Arabidopsis thaliana: one gene and its partners. The protein of the gene in region 1 purifies or fractionates together with the protein of each later gene. This does not show direct contact. Each region holds a gene or a part of one and is shown in the gene's direction. Other genes may lie near its edges.

What was found. Proteins that work in one complex are often made in the same cells at the same time.
Region 2: the proteins of TAFII59 (region 1) and BSH fractionate together in Arabidopsis thaliana (co-fractionation; one large-scale study listed by BioGRID). This does not show direct contact.
Region 3: the proteins of TAFII59 (region 1) and PKL fractionate together in Arabidopsis thaliana (co-fractionation; one large-scale study listed by BioGRID). This does not show direct contact.

The regions. Positions count from the first base shown.
Region 1 is NC_003070.9:1,402,585-1,409,418, reverse strand, and holds TAFII59 (TATA BOX ASSOCIATED FACTOR II 59), read left to right. Parts: upstream 1-1,887; 5' UTR 1,888-1,990; exon of another isoform or gene 1,991-2,213; 5' UTR 2,214-2,234; coding exon 2,235-2,360; intron 2,361-2,460; coding exon 2,461-2,547; intron 2,548-2,776; coding exon 2,777-2,878; intron 2,879-2,971; coding exon 2,972-3,080; intron 3,081-3,361; coding exon 3,362-3,462; intron 3,463-3,538; coding exon 3,539-3,676; intron 3,677-3,763; coding exon 3,764-3,859; intron 3,860-4,184; coding exon 4,185-4,309; intron 4,310-4,669; coding exon 4,670-4,802; intron 4,803-5,092; coding exon 5,093-5,218; intron 5,219-5,306; coding exon 5,307-5,813; 3' UTR 5,814-5,823; intron 5,824-5,978; 3' UTR 5,979-6,334; downstream 6,335-6,834. Other genes in the region: AT1G04960 (golgin family A protein (DUF1664)), read left to right, coding at 1-67, 414-488, 590-622, 725-802, 905-961, 1,219-1,398; AT1G04945 (HIT-type Zinc finger family protein), read right to left, coding at 6,768-6,834. UniProt on the Arabidopsis thaliana protein: TAFs are components of the transcription factor IID (TFIID) complex that is essential for mediating regulation of RNA polymerase transcription. Required for proper pollen function. May stabilize the interaction of TFIID with selected promoters.
Region 2 is NC_003074.8:6,016,709-6,021,543, reverse strand, and holds BSH (transcription regulatory protein SNF5, putative (BSH)), read left to right. Parts: upstream 1-1,877; 5' UTR 1,878-1,952; coding exon 1,953-2,002; intron 2,003-2,097; coding exon 2,098-2,192; intron 2,193-2,301; coding exon 2,302-2,396; intron 2,397-2,736; coding exon 2,737-2,808; intron 2,809-2,920; coding exon 2,921-2,968; intron 2,969-3,050; coding exon 3,051-3,134; intron 3,135-3,237; coding exon 3,238-3,276; intron 3,277-3,401; coding exon 3,402-3,484; intron 3,485-3,586; coding exon 3,587-3,649; intron 3,650-4,131; coding exon 4,132-4,231; 3' UTR 4,232-4,332; downstream 4,333-4,835. Other genes in the region: IAA31 (indole-3-acetic acid inducible 31), read left to right, coding at 504-628, 726-937, 1,036-1,120, 1,209-1,263. UniProt on the Arabidopsis thaliana protein: Component of a multiprotein complex equivalent of the yeast SWI/SNF complex, an ATP-dependent chromatin-remodeling complex, which is required for the positive and negative regulation of gene expression of a large number of genes.
Region 3 is NC_003071.7:10,712,492-10,717,067, forward strand, and holds the start of PKL (chromatin remodeling factor CHD3 (PICKLE)), read left to right. Parts: upstream 1-1,573; coding exon 1,574-1,648; intron 1,649-1,916; coding exon 1,917-2,060; intron 2,061-2,154; coding exon 2,155-2,292; intron 2,293-2,382; coding exon 2,383-2,537; intron 2,538-2,639; coding exon 2,640-2,801; intron 2,802-3,069; coding exon 3,070-3,284; intron 3,285-3,375; coding exon 3,376-3,471; intron 3,472-3,578; coding exon 3,579-3,715; intron 3,716-3,808; coding exon 3,809-4,021; intron 4,022-4,111; coding exon 4,112-4,219; intron 4,220-4,380; coding exon 4,381-4,431; intron 4,432-4,521; coding exon 4,522-4,576. Other genes in the region: AT2G25169 (uncharacterized protein), read right to left, coding at 115-224, 423-487, 852-967, 1,440-1,523. UniProt on the Arabidopsis thaliana protein: Chromatin remodeling factor that represses the expression of embryonic trait genes (such as NFYB9/LEC1) upon and after seed germination and thus enables the developmental switch to post-germinative growth. Silences some MADS-box proteins such as PHE1 and PHE2.

The DNA.
Region 1 (6,834 bases):
GAAGCTAGCGACCTTGGATTGGAAGGTGGAAGAGCAGAATGAGACATCTAAAATGATCTTAAGTGATGTAAGGAACCCGTTTTATTTCTCACTTTCTTGTATTGATGCCTTATTTTTTCCTTAGACTTAAGATTAGGATACTTATACATTCGTCTGAGAGAGATCTCCTCTTGTACATTTAACATCTTAGAAGAATTTAAAACACATTTAGGAATTCCAAAAGATTGTAGAGTATTTATTTATTAACGTCCTATCTCTTTGGCCCTGAACTGTTTTTCTTCACATGTACAGTAGAGTCCTTTGTTTCTTTCAAATTACAGCTTGATTCTCATATCTGCGATTTACTCCATCTATGCCTTTCTTTGATATTCATTTTAATGCTAATGCTCACATGGAATCTTGCTTCAATTCAGGTTACTGAGATGAGATCAAGCATTTCGCAAATTGGGTTTGATTTTAAGCAACTTAATGAAATGATTTCTGGAATAGTAAGTCTCATCATTGCCCTCTAATATGCATCATTGCCCTCTAATATGCATATTTTAAAGGGGCTAATATATCTTTACTCTCTTATATGAAATTTTTACAGGAAGGGAAGATTGAAAGTCTTGAAAGCAAACAAGTAATTTGTCTACAACCATTAGATACTACAAACCACTTCACGCTATCAATTTTCTTAAAACTAATTGATCTCAAACAGATATTTTTTTTGTTAAAATTTTAGGATGTGACCCTCTCTGGACTATGGCATCTATGTCAAGTTGCAGGCGTTAAAGACAGCACAAGTACTAAAGTATTTCAGGTGAGTGTTAACTTACAAATTAAGTGAAACGTTTTCTTACTTATTTTTCACGTAGTTATAGGCCTTAATGAAAAAAATCTTGTTTCTGGCTTTGTGGTTTAGGATGTTGGTGAGAGATTACCTATTGATGGAAAACCATCCACTAATACTTCTCTCTCTGTAAGAATGCTACTATACCTTTTTCCATCATATAAATGTGCATTTCCATTCTGTTGACGCAAAAAAGTTGCTTATAGTGAAAAAATTCAACGAGATGGTTGATCTTGAATTTGCATATATTCAAGGCAATCTCTCATCAAGCTTATTCGAATAAAAATTGGAACCTGAAAATACTTGTGGTAGTAGCTGTTATTTGATGATTTCATGTCATGATGTTTCTTTGGCTTTCTAAAACTATAAAACTATGGAAACTCCAGGGTCTGCGGTTTCTGACGGAAGGCAAAGAGGATGCAAATGTAATACACAAGCCGGTTATGGCGAAAGAAATTATGGTGATGGGGGAAAAAACAAAAGTCACTGCAGCGGGAAGAAGCAGAGTTCATAGAGCGTTTCCAGGTGGAATATCTTGGGTACGGGATGTTTCAGGACTATCCTAATATTATTTTGGTTGATATACAAAGAAATTGCTTGTATTCGTCCCAAATTCTGATACTGGGACTGGCAATTATTTTTTCATGTAAAAAGAAGAAAAATCTACATATGTTATTGCATCCACCAACAATTTGGTTTGCCCCTAATTATATTTGGTCTTGATGTTTGTAAAGAAAGAGTGTGATTAAGGCTTTCACGTATGTTGATGTCTTCATTGATTTGGACTTTTGTGCTCCTTTTTCCTTTTGTGTTTGGATCAATTTTGTTTGTGTAGAAAATAGAAAGAACTACCACAGAAGACAGAACTACTGTCTTGAAACATTTGTTTCGTCCTTTCTCGTAGGATTAATTGTCTTTAGTTGGCAGAGAAATAAAATATTTCGCTCTTATTGGGCCTTGGCCCAAAATAGATATAGAGACAGCCCAAATTTAATTTAACCCGAAATAGTCCAACCGGGTGAATTTGACAGCAATTAAAAAACCCGGCCCGGCTTCTTATATTAACAAGAGGCTTGGCATCGGTTAATCGGAGCTTCTTTCCTCTCAAGTGAAGTGTCTGGATCTTCGTCGCTCAACGCAAATCCCTCTCCGGTTCATGTAAATTTCCAACTTATTTTTGTGCTCGAATTTTGGTTAACGGGACAAATTTCACACTTTTACGGAGTATGGAAGCAGCCTTTGTCTTCTGGGCTGTTGAATTGCGATTCATTGTGTATGCCCAACAATGGTTTAATTGGGAGGTTCCAATGATTTTTTGTGCTTTTTTCTTACTTAATATAACCACTGTTGATGTTTCTTCTGTGTCCTTGTATCGCCACAGTGGATAAGCAGCCTGGGGAAGATGAGCATTGTACCTAAGGAAACGGTTGAGGTAATAGCTCAAAGTATTGGGATTACCAACTTGTTACCTGAAGCTGCTCTTATGCTTGCTCCTGATGTTGAGTATCGTGTCCGAGAGATCATGCAGGTTACCTTCTTTTTCTAATCATGTCTTTGTGTTCTTGAGGTGAGTTTTCTGGTATCAGCATATTGATCTTTCTGTACCTTCTCTTTGGATGTCCTTTCAGGAAGCTATCAAATGCATGCGTCACTCAAAGAGAACGACTTTAACAGCTTCGGATGTAGATGGTGCTCTCAACTTAAGGAACGTTGAGGTACAAACTCGATGACCTATTTCTTACTTCCCATTATCTAGAGTTTTGGTTGTGTAAGCTTCCTGGTTTTTGTAGTTGAGTGACAAAGATATATGGTTTCTAGTTTTGAGGTTTGGCTTTACTGGTGCATATGAATAACACCATCTGTTACACATTGCTTTCACATATTTCACTATTGTAGTCAACTGAATCAAAGGCATCTTTTTGAGAGTGATTATATCTATTGCAGCCGATATATGGATTTGCCTCAGGAGGGCCATTTCGTTTTAGAAAAGCTATTGGACATCGCGATTTGTTCTACACTGATGACAGAGAAGTGGATTTCAAAGATGTAAGATGTTGGAAAAGCTGGCATGTTTTTTTTGTTTCAGTTAAATTCTTCATTTTGGGTTCCTTATGTTTTCAAGAAATGTCATGATTCTAGGTGATCGAAGCCCCGCTGCCAAAAGCTCCCCTTGATACTGAAATTGTTTGTCACTGGCTGGCTATTGAAGGAGTGCAACCAGCTATACCAGAAAATGCTCCTTTAGAAGGTTTGTCTCTCAATCTTATGCCCTGGGCTAGAGTTGTAAAGTCATTATATGAATTTTTCAACATGAAACAAATATTAGTATGTACAATGACGTTTCAGAGGTGTATAAACCTCTTTCTACAGTTACCCCGTGTTAAGTGGTGAGCTTACTGATGTTACTGAAAGATCAAAATACATATTTTCAGATCCATCTGTATTATTGTTTTGCGGATCCGCATGAGCAAGAAATCCTTGTTCTTTCCTATCTTGACTATATTTTTCACTTGTTTGTGTTGTCTCTAGTCATTAGAGCACCTGCAGAAACCAAAATCCATGAACAAAAAGACGGACCTCTTATTGACGTTAGGCTACCAGTGAAGCATGTACTATCTAGGGAACTTCAGGTATATGGTGCAGTCTAAATATCATAGGGTAATATCCTTACATACATAGGACTTATCTGTTGTTCTCTCTTCACAGTTATACTTCCAAAAGATTGCTGAACTTGCAATGAGCAAGTCAAATCCTCCTCTGTATAAAGAAGCATTAGTGAGCTTGGCCTCAGACTCAGGACTTCATCCTCTAGTTCCATATTTTACAAATTTCATTGCTGATGAGGTAACATTATGCACCACCGAGGAACTAGTGTGAACCAATAAGACCCACGTTAAGTTTTTGCAGTTTTAATTTTCTCCACTTGTGCAGGTTTCAAATGGCTTAAATGACTTCCGACTCCTGTTTAATCTAATGCACATTGTTAGAAGTCTTCTACAGAATCCTCACATACACATAGAACCTTATGTAAGTTTTCTCTGGATTATCTTTTGCCACTATCTAAAAAATTGTAGAATCATGTAGCTCCATTTTCTTTAGGCTTCTGATTTGGGTTTCTTCAAGTTCTATATTAGACATATTCTATATAATGGGTATCAAATGGTTAGTGGTAGTGTTTGTCCGAGGTCTGCAAGCTCGAGTGCTTAAGTACTCTCAGTCTGCTTGAAATAACAACAAGTTTTGCCTTTGATCTGTATTGAGATTATGTAAACCAGCCTTGGGATAATGAGTTGGTTGTTTGAGCAATGTTTCATAACCATGAAGCTGAGTGAACTTTTTCTTTTGGTGCCAGCTGCACCAGTTGATGCCATCTGTTGTAACATGCCTTGTATCAAGAAAGCTTGGAAATAGATTTGCTGACAACCACTGGGAACTCAGAGATTTTGCGGCAAATCTGGTTTCACTGATATGTAAAAGGTTCATTATTTCCCTTTCATGTCATGAACTCTGTGTTTGTTTTGGTTGATTGTGGGGATCTATACATGATTTCTTACTGGAGCTAATAATGAAATTCTATAAGGAAATATCATGAGATGATTATCCATAGATGTTCTGCTAAGTTTATCTTGTTTGATCTCTTTACTATTGATATCTACTTCTTTTTTGCTCGAGCTGAAAAACAAATGGTTAGATCTATATTAACAACAATTAGTAATAACTTGCTATAGTCTTCTTCATTATTTAAAAGGGTACATTGTCTCGCACTTTTATTTTACATATCTCACCTTTATATTCTTTTAGCATCTGAAATCCTGTGATTTTAATAAAATCTTGCAGGTATGGAACCGTTTATATAACTCTTCAGTCTCGTCTTACCAGAACTTTAGTCAATGCACTGCTGGACCCAAAGAAGGCTTTGACTCAGCACTATGGTGCGATTCAAGGATTAGCAGCTTTGGGGCACACTGTTGTAAGTCATTCCTTGACCTTTCAGAAAGTTTGTGCATGCTATTTCAGATATCACCGAGAAATAATGTTACCCAGCTTGTCCTTCAATCTAGGGACTTTTCAGAATCTGAGATACAATTTGATTTGCCCATACCATTTTTCCGGGTTTGCTTATTCATTTTATTGGGAAATTAGGACTTTTATCGTCTTAAACGGCTACTCCAGTGAATCAGATACCCCTGCTACCAAAAACTTTAGCACAGCTATCCTGCATTGTTATCTGTTGTCATCTGAATGTCATATATTGTGTAGGTACGCCTTCTTATTCTATCAAATCTCGAACCATATCTAAGTCTTCTCGAACCTGAATTGAATGCTGAGAAGCAAAAAAATCAGATGAAGATCTACGAAGCTTGGCGTGTATATGGAGCCTTGCTGGTTAGTAAACACATCCTTGTAAAATTTCATCTTTGTAGAATTCTCAGTGGACAATCCTTAGATGGACTTGCCCCCTTTTTCTTTTCAGCGTGCTGCAGGCTTGTGTATACATGGCCGGCTTAAAATCTTCCCACCTTTACCATCTCCGTCACCAAGTTTTCTCCATAAGGGAAAGGGAAAGGGAAAGATAATCAGTACTGATCCCCACAAGCGGAAGCTGAGTGTAGATTCTTCAGAAAACCAATCACCGCAGAAAAGATTGATAACCATGGATGGGCCAGATGGTGTACATTCACAAGATCAATCTGGCTCAGCTCCAATGCAAGTAGATAATCCAGTGGAAAATGACAATCCGCCACAAAACTCTGTTCAGCCATCCTCATCAGAACAAGCCTCTGATGCTAACGAATCTGAAAGCAGAAATGGAAAGGTGAAAGAAAGCGGCAGGAGTCGGGCTATTACCATGAAAGCAATCCTTGATCAGATATGGAAAGATGATCTTGATTCCGGACGGCTATTGGTGAAACTGCACGAACTCTATGGTGATAGGATTCTTCCCTTTATCCCTTCTACAGAGATGTCAGTATTCCTCTAACCAATAAGAGGTGAGCTATTCTATTCCCCAACTTCCTGATATTTACCTCATCGATATAAAACTCATGGTTCCAGTCGTGAATGCAATAAATATGTGAAATCAAAAGAATAATGATACTCAATACATTAATGCTAATGAAATAGATGTTTGATGATTTTCAAGCAGAGAAGGAGGCTTGGAGAGATTAAAGCGCCGTCTGGTTGGCATACATAAACTCATTTAGATCCGTGCCATTGTTCTCAGGTCAACTCTTTAGTTCTTCTTTTTAAGCTTGAGGGATTTCAAAGTCCTTAGGAGCCTGCAGAGTGGGTTGAGTTGAATTGAACCGGTTGCAATGTATATATTAAGAGAATTTTAATGATTCCGTAGTGGACTTATTTGTTTACTCTCAAATGTAATCCATGAAATAATTTCTCTTCAAATCTGTATGATCTAGATTGCAATTTTTGATATTGTTGTTTACATGTATGCTCTCTTGCTTATTTACTCTTTACATATAATATCCGTTCATAGATTATATCTATTGTTGATCCTTCTGGTCCGTTGCTAGAAAACTTTTGGGCAAACTACAAGGTTTGGTCTGTATTACATTGACTATAAAGAAGATCTGAAAGACAACAAGATTAATTTATGAGGATCTATAGGAGGATAAGACTGAACAAAAGTTTCGGAGACATTCTTAAGTTAACTATCTTGTATGTAAACAATCAAGTTTGCTACAAACCACAGAACAGCCTAGTAATCTGGTTTACTACAAAAGAAATACCTGTTGATCAAAGCCCAGACCGAAAACTTATGACCATCAGTGCTGTGGCTTATTGCATTCCAGTAAAAGCTTTGGCTATTACCAAGTATAGCTAATGTGCTCGAACAAGAGAGCTTCAGGCATGAACATAATCCTCAAAAATGTTTCACAGAGAGTAATTCCTTTTTGCCAGAACAAGACTATGACCATCATTCGACGATTTCCCCTTCTTCTAAATCTAGTCCATCAGCGATGAAATCAGTATCTAAATTTTGG
Region 2 (4,835 bases), on another chromosome or scaffold:
CTCTCCTAATTAAAGAATCTGAGCAGTTGAGAAATTAAAATCAAAGCCTTAACAGATTAACTCCAACATCATTTAGACACACTTTCCTTGGATACCACCTTTTTACGGAAACTTCGAATCTTACATGTAAACAAATCTCAAAACCATAATTTCACATTTTTACTACTAACTAACTCCAAAGATCTAAACCCATGAATTAAGTATCTAATCGGGTAATTATTACAGTGGTTTTCAGAAATCAATGTGTGTTCATATTTAGAAGGTTGAAAGTTCATAGTTAAATGTGGGGAACCTTATGTTCCTATTATTTATTTATATTAAATTTCAAAGTCGATTAAATCAATTTTTAAATTCAAAATCTATGCAATAGAATCACCTACTAGTCCTTTTTTGTTTAACTAGACAGAGAGAAATAGAAATAGAGAGAGAGAGACATGAAGAGCACTCTCAATAGAGAAGAGAAGGAAGCATGAAGCTAGCTCTGCAGCTTCAAGGTCTCATTAATGGAGGTCTCTAACTCTTGTTCTTCATTTTCTTCATCCTCTGTCGACAGTACTAAACCTTCTCCTTCTGAATCTTCTGTTAATCTCTCCCTTAGTCTCACATTTCCTTCTACTTCTCCACAAAGGTCTTATTCACATCACTTCTCTGTTTTTTCCTATGTTCTGTTTTTGCTCTGTTTTCTTTTGTTCACATTTGTGTTTTAAATCTTTATTTTTTTGTAGAGAAGCAAGACAAGATTGGCCACCGATAAAGTCTAGATTAAGAGATACACTAAAGGGTCGTCGTCTTCTTCGTCGTGGTGATGACACTTCTCTCTTTGTTAAGGTTTATATGGAAGGTGTTCCCATTGGAAGAAAACTCGACCTTTGCGTATTCTCAGGCTACGAGAGTCTATTAGAAAATCTCTCTCACATGTTCGATACTTCAATCATCTGTAAGTAATTAATGAACAACACATAATTCCGTAAAAACAACATTCAACTAAATTCAAACAGTTTGAAGTATATCCATGCATTGTCTTGGCTATAACAGGCGGTAATCGAGATCGAAAACATCATGTTTTGACATATGAAGACAAGGATGGAGATTGGATGATGGTCGGAGATATTCCATGGGAGTATGAATCTTATATCTTGATCTTACATTGGTATAATTTCCTCGGTTATAGCTATTCTCTAATTTTTGAAATCGATGTTTTTGTTTAGTATGTTTCTTGAAACCGTGAGAAGACTAAAGATCACGAGACCGGAGAGGTATTAAAACTTGGATCGGTCAAGGCTGTGATTGCGCAGTTACGAGACGTGTAAGATTTAGGCATTGATGAAGAGACTTGAGGCGGGACGGAGCTATTGCTGCATATTGCAACAAAGGCCTTGAAGAAGTTGGAGAATTGATTGATGCATATATTTATTTATATGACACCTTTGAGTGTGTTTTTTCTTATAAATAAATCACAATATCCAAGACTTCTCTTTTTTGTTCTGAATAATAATAATGCAAAGATTTTTTATATGTTTGTAATCGTGTGTTTCTTCGAATGTGTTACATGACTAGGAAAAAAGTACACGAACGTTGTTATGGGGAGCACGAACATGGAATAGAGGAACGTTGTCAGGAAGAGAATGATTCTCTTTGATCTGCCGGCAGCCGTCTCGTTGGTTGTCACCAATGTACAATTTTAATGTTGAGCCCATTTAAAGCCCACTAAATGACTAACAAGCTCGTTTAAAGCCCAAATGCTGCAATTGATCGTAGGATCGGATCCAGATAATTCGTCCCAAAATGGGAAAATTCCAAATTAGAGGTGAAATGTGTAAAGACATTAGAATATAAGGGTGATTCTGAAATAAATTAAGCTAGCGCCGGAAAAAGATCGAGAAATTGAAATTTCCCACACTCTCTCGCTGACTCTCTTCGAAACTCAATTTGTGAAATTTGGGGGTTTAAGGATGAAGGGTTTAGTGTCTACTGGTTGGAAAGGTCCCGTCAAGTTCAGGATGTAAGTTTCGTCGCTTCCTCTACTTTGTTTGTTTTGAAATCGAAATCGAGTTCATGTGTTTTTGTTTTTTCTGATGAATCGATTTGTAATCGGAGCTATAGGCCCACTGCTGAAAACTTGGTACCTATTCGATTGGACATTCAATTCGAAGGTCAGCGTTACAAAGATGCTTTCACTTGGAACCCTTCAGGTTTCTCTCTTAAAAACCCTACCTTTTTTTTTGTTTTCCATCTTCTCGCATCTTATTACAGTAGCAGTGTATGTGATTCACTGATTCTTGTTTTTGGTTTTGGATACAGACCCGGATAATGAAGTCGTTATCTTTGCCAAAAGAACTGTTAAAGACTTGAAACTTCCCTATGCATTTGTCACTCAGATTGCCCAATCTATTCAGGTTGTTTCTAAACTAGTTCACACTGACCTATCTTTAGTTTTTCTTCTGCTCTGATTTTGTTGTTAGTTCTTTTGCTTGTCATAGAGATGAGCTTAAATTTAAGGTCACCTATTAGTCTTAAACCAATCACACTTTCGACTTATTGTTTTTAACTCTTTAGGTTTTTTTACTCGAGAAGAGGCCTGTTTATAGCATTGTACTTTGGGATGTATATCTGTAAGACTGTGCTTTTGTGATGAATGTACTCTTGCTTCAGTTATGTTCTGTTCTGTTTTTGTAAGTATTGGAATAATTTCTTCAGAAATCTCTACTTACATTGGTCAACTTCCTGCTTTATCAGTCTCAGCTCTCAGACTTTCGGGCTTATGAAGGACAAGACATGTACACTGGTGAAAAAATCATACCAATTAAGGTTTTATGACGCTAGATATCCTTATCCCTCTCTCTTTTGTCCATGAGTGATTTGTTGGAAAAAAAGAAGTTCTAGAAGCTGATAAGCTATCTTTCTTTCTTTTTTGTGCCAGCTTGATCTCCGAGTTAACCATACTCTCATCAAGGATCAGTTCTTATGGGTGAGAATACTTGGTGATTTTGAACAATTTCAACTATTGTTTGTACTCTTTTTCTCAGTGCAGCTTGATTGCCGTTTTGCAGGACCTAAACAATTTTGAGAGTGATCCTGAGGAATTTGCAAGAACCTTGTGCAAGGATTTAGGTGTTGAAGACCCTGAAGTTGGAGTAAGATAACCACTCAATTTTTTACATTTCATTATCTGAACTAATGAACCTAAGTTTCAAACGTTTGATACAAGTGATTTTTGGTTTCTCCTTCTCTCTGAAGCCTGCTGTTGCCTTTGCAATAAGGGAACAACTTTACGAGGTTAAAACTTTGATTGTAACTTTAAGCTACTCTCTCTGTATTTCTGTATACTCTATATATGTTTTCTATTTTGAACAAGAATGCCAAACTTACTGAGTTACCATGTCGTTGTTTTTGCTTGCCAGATTGCAATTCAAAGTGTGGCTTCAGCTAGGGAGAGTAGATTAAGCAAGAAAGGCCGCAGAGGATCTGATCATGGTTCAGCGAGGTATGTTCACGTTGCCCCTATTTGTCTATCCAAGTTACCTTGTGGTAATATTAGAGCCTAGCTCAAAAAATTCTAAAATAACTTTCCATCTTATATGTGCAGCAAGGCAAGTGGCCTGTCAATGGACTTAATGAAGTTATTCAGTTTTAAGTCCAGTGTAGTTCGGTAAGTGATTTTCTTACCCACTTAATGCATACATTTTCTCTGTTGCATTGTCTTCTTAAGATCTGTTGGACGACTGACTTCTAGCAGCTAGATCGTTTATAAGATAAGTTAACTTTGCGACACATCCTGAGCGTTTTTCTTACACATACTCTTGAATGCCACCTCTTCATGCATTATATCATTTGATAGTAGATTATCCCAATATTTGGAGCTGGTCCCTACTGAGATTGTTCTAATAGTAATTTCTGGTGATGTTACATGTTGTTATTGAACATAGAAAACCGAATCACTAGGTTGGAAATTGTTTGATTACAAAATAAACTCTGTGGAAATTGAAGAAGTTCTCTTCCTGCATTGCTTATCACTAAATGGGAGTTTTTCAAAAAATAAGATTTATGGACACGAACAAATTTGACTTGCAAGACCAAGCAAAAGCTATAACAGAATCCAAAAATAACAAATTTTGTCCATGATCTTGACAGGAAAAGGAAAGACTTGGATGTTTATGAACCAGTTGTGGATCTGCTAACAAGTGAGGAAGTTGATGCGCTTGAAGCCAGGGAAGAGAGACATGCAAGGTGAAGAGTTTCGTTTACATGTATAAATATTTCTTAGGGCAACACTCAAAATATGTTGTATCATGCTTAACTTGAGTTAATGATATTAAGACAATCTTTTATGAGACACATAATCCTTAAGATGCATCCGGTGTGTATGAGTGCCCTGGCCTAAGTATGAGATTTCGGTTTAGTAAACCTGGTTAGGTGAAACACCAGTGGGTGTGGAATGAAGAATCTTTAGATGATATAACCTCAATGGGACATGTTAGGTTTGCAGAGTTGAGTGAAACCATTTCTTCACTCTTTGATTAAGATGTTTCCCAAACTTTGAGCATGTTAAAGAATGTTAGAGAGAGAGTTAGAGGATTAAAAAAAATATAGTAATGAAAGAAAGAAAGAAAAATGAAGGAGATTCAAAGGACAAGACACGTTGTGAGAATCAAGTGACCCACTTGAGACTTTAATAAGATCTCATCATCAACCATTAACCTCACTGTCGATATACGGTCGTACTTTTTCTTCTATTCTCTTCTCTTTGCCCTTTTTTTTTTCTCTTTTTCTTGATTCAATGATTGGGTCCCTCTCTAAGCTCAAGCTGCTGTCATCTAAATTAATTAATATGCGAA
Region 3 (4,576 bases), on another chromosome or scaffold:
CTACATAACACTTGCTGAAACCTACGTTTTAGCGTTGGATATCTCTCTATATATTTTTGGTCAATGTCGTTGGAGATTGAATCCTAGATTAAATCCTACAAGAAGAAGAAAGCTTCATGAGAAGAAGAAGATGAAGAAAAGAGAAGAAGCCAAGCTTGGAAGAAGAGAAGAAGAAGATGTCGTGACCAAAGGAGGAAGAAGAGAATAAGAAGTTGTCGTGACCACTGACCAAAGGAGGAAGAAGAGTCAACGACACAAATCCAACATAAGAACGGAGTTGGATTTGTGTTTTGTAATAAGGCCATTGGGCCGTAAGTGAATTATAGCCCCACAAGTGTTAGTGGGTTTGGTTGGTTAAGTTTAAGCTAAATAAGTTAAGGTGGATATAACAAACATAGTTGCACCAATGCATCTCAGCTCACCTGGTCTAAGCAACGGTTTCAAGAAGTTGCTCGCTTCTATTGCTCCACGCCTCCACAAGTAGCTCCTACACAAGAGTAATAACTCATTAGTATAGAGACACAAGATTATACAAGAAATACTTAGTAGACATAATTGTTCATCTCCAGTGTTAATCCTCAATAATTGTTCGATGCAGTATTCTTCTAATGAGATGAAAAATCATTTTTATAGAGTTACCACCCATCAAAACCATTTATACAAAACGTTTTACTTGGTCAGAGTAAAAAAATGCATACAAGTATTGTGTATAAATAAAAAGGTCATCTATTAATGTATAATCTGAATCAAAAAAAGAAAGAGCACCTGCACCAATAACAATGTGAATCTCATCAATGAACAAGATTGTTTGCCCATTCGAAGCATATACTTCCTTCAATATTGTTTTAAACCTTGTCTCAAAATCTTCTCCATAATTAGCACCAACAAGGAGTGAACCCACGTCAAGAGATTTCAGCTCCATGATAAATAGCGAAACCAAGCAAAGCATGTTAAATCTTCCTCTAGCCTCTTTGAGGGGAAAAGGTAAATAAACTTAAATATTTAAAAATATCTAAGTTTATATAATAACAATATTGGGTAAGTGAAAAGTAATTGTCATTATTTTTGACACTTATTTTTATAAGTTAGAAGTAATTATAATTTTTTCAAACAAAAAAGTAAGTTTTTTGTGTGTGAAAAAATAATGATATTGAGAAGGTAATTTAATTAGAGGTGATATTTTATACCTTAAGAAGTGTATTAAAGTTAATAATAACCATAAGTTAAAATTGGTAAGCTAAATGTTAGAAATCATTTGTGTTGTCTGAATTTTCAAGTTTCGTTCGTTTCGGATTACTTTCTTCTTCTGCAAAAACAGATCCCAACCATTTCAAAGGTTCGTCTTCTCCTTCTCTTCCACACTCTTCTCTGCTTCACTTTTTACTCTATCTTCGACTAGTAATATCGCTTTCGACTTCTCAAATTACTTCTCAAGTTACTATTTTTCTCTTCCTTTCTTTCAAATTTTCGTTACAAACTGAGTTTGAAACTGTTTGGGTTTTGTAAAGTTTTGATCTTTTCATGATATTGCGGTAAGAGATTGTTAATTCGACTTCTGGGTACTCACATTTCGATGCTCAATTGTTTATTCTTATGGGTAATTTTGGCTAGGGTTTTTTCCAATTTCTCTCTCGTTCTCTTTCACAAGGTTAGTCGATCTTGCTCATGTGGTATAGAGTTTGATGAATCGAGTTGTTTAGTAGCTATTGTACGAACTATCTCTTGATATAGTTGTAAAGGTTTTAGATTGGGAACAAAAAATTTCACTGTGATGTTTGTTTAGGTAGTAGAGTTCAATTGTGTGAAACTCTAATTTCATAGTTTGCTTAAGTCTCAGAACTAGCACTGAGTCTATTGTTATATGTGTTGTTTATGTAAGTTTGTTGTTATTGATGGGAGATATGTTTTGTGTGCAGAAAATGAGTAGTTTGGTGGAGAGGCTTCGCATACGATCTGATAGGAAACCAGTTTATAACCTAGATGATTCTGATGATGACGACTTCGTTCCTAAAAAAGATCGAACCTTTGAGCAAGTCGAGGCTATTGTCAGAACTGATGCGGTTTGTTTCTCCTCTCGAGCTTATTGTTCAGCTTTTACTGTTTTATGTGTTCTATTTTAATCCTTTTTTTTGTGTTGTTACTCTGAATTTGTAGAAAGAAAATGCATGTCAGGCTTGTGGGGAAAGTACTAATCTTGTAAGCTGCAATACATGCACTTATGCGTTCCATGCTAAATGCTTAGTTCCACCTCTTAAAGATGCTTCCGTGGAAAATTGGAGATGCCCTGAATGTGTAAGATTTTAGTTACGGTCCACAATTATGTTTTGGGATGCTACAGGTTCCATTTTTCTTACATGGAAGAATTGTTGTTTACATTTGCAGGTTAGTCCTCTTAACGAGATAGATAAGATATTGGATTGTGAAATGCGTCCTACAAAATCTAGTGAACAAGGTTCCTCCGATGCGGAACCGAAGCCAATTTTTGTGAAACAGTATCTCGTGAAGTGGAAGGGATTATCATACCTTCACTGCTCTTGGTAGTTACTGCGTGTCTTTTTTGCTGTCTGGACACGCTAATTATCAATGTTTCTTTCTGTGAACACTATAATATGTGATTTATTTCCTTTTACTAATCATAGGGTGCCTGAGAAGGAGTTCCAGAAGGCTTATAAGTCAAATCATCGTTTAAAAACCAGAGTGAACAATTTTCACCGTCAAATGGAGTCATTCAATAACAGCGAAGATGATTTTGTTGCCATACGTCCTGAGTGGACCACTGTTGATCGGATTCTTGCCTGCAGGTCTAGAGAATGGAATTAATTCCTTTATTTATCTATCTGCCAACTTTTTTTTTAATATCCTTGTTTTCAGCATAATCCATTCTCTAATAAACACGTATCTTTGATAGAGTGCTGCTTAACCTAAATTTACTGTTATCACGATTTTGGGTCTCTGAAACATGATAAATGACCTGCTTACCTTTTTTTTCTTCTTTTTAAGTTACCATTTTCTTAGTTGTTTCGTAAATCAGGAATTGTGACAGTTGCATTGGTTTCTTTTATGATATAGAGAGGAAGATGGGGAGCTGGAATATCTTGTCAAATATAAAGAGCTATCCTATGATGAATGTTATTGGGAGTCAGAATCAGACATCTCAACCTTCCAGAATGAAATTCAAAGGTTCAAGGATGTAAATTCTAGAACTCGCAGAAGTAAAGATGTTGACCATAAAAGAAATCCCAGAGACTTTCAACAGTTTGATCATACTCCTGAATTCCTCAAAGGTATTTGGATCACCTTAAATCATATACTATAAATGTTTCTTATATTTGGTACTTATAGATGTTATGATTTATTTGTTTCCTGCGATTGAAGGCTTGTTACATCCATACCAGCTTGAGGGACTTAATTTTTTGCGGTTCTCGTGGTCAAAACAGACGCATGTAATCCTTGCTGATGAAATGGGACTAGGTAATTTTTCAATTGTCCCACTTGGGTGGTCACATAGATCTTTTCATCCATTGTAAGGGGCCTTTGTTTTCTATTCCTGTAATGTTGTGAGATTTTTCCTGTTACAGGCAAGACAATTCAAAGCATTGCCCTTTTAGCTTCACTTTTTGAGGAGAACCTCATTCCGCATTTGGTAATTGCTCCTCTATCGACTCTGCGTAACTGGGAGAGAGAGTTTGCCACATGGGCCCCACAGATGAACGTGGTATGTATGCAGTTATACACGCAATGATCTGTGCCATTTGTATGTTTTTGTTGTTTGTTAATGGAATGGTCTTCGTGGTCATTTGACGGGTAGGTTATGTATTTTGGCACTGCGCAAGCTCGAGCAGTTATCAGAGAACATGAGTTTTACTTATCGAAAGATCAAAAAAAGATCAAGAAAAAGAAATCTGGACAAATAAGTAGCGAAAGCAAGCAAAAAAGAATCAAGTTTGATGTCCTCCTCACATCGTATGAGATGATCAACCTAGATTCAGCAGTTCTAAAACCAATTAAGTGGGAGTGCATGGTAACTCTTATTCTCTAATGAGACTTTACTTTCTCTTAGTCGTCTCTCTTTCTCTCTTACATGTTGCCTAGTAACAATTGTTTTGGGCAGATTGTTGATGAAGGTCATCGACTGAAAAATAAGGATTCAAAGCTGTTCTCTTCATTGACACAGTATTCAAGTAACCACCGTATTCTTCTGACAGGAACACCACTTCAGGTTCGTCATTTGAGTTTGATTTCTGAAGTTTATACTTTCAATAGTTGTATCTGAGCATAGTAGCTACGATTTGCAATGAGAATTGTTATATATTATCTTGCACTAATGTCTTACCTGATTAGTTGCAATATGTTACTGATGATTATGTGGTGCCTTTACAGAACAACTTGGATGAACTTTTCATGCTCATGCATTTTCTTGATGCGGGGAAGGTATCACAAGAATAGCAAAGATAAATAAGTTCGCATACTTAACAGAATTTTATGTAGCTAACATGTTATTTGATTGCACAATACTTGCAGTTTGGAAGTTTGGAGGAGTTCCAGGAGGAGTTCAAAGATATTAATCAAGAGGAGC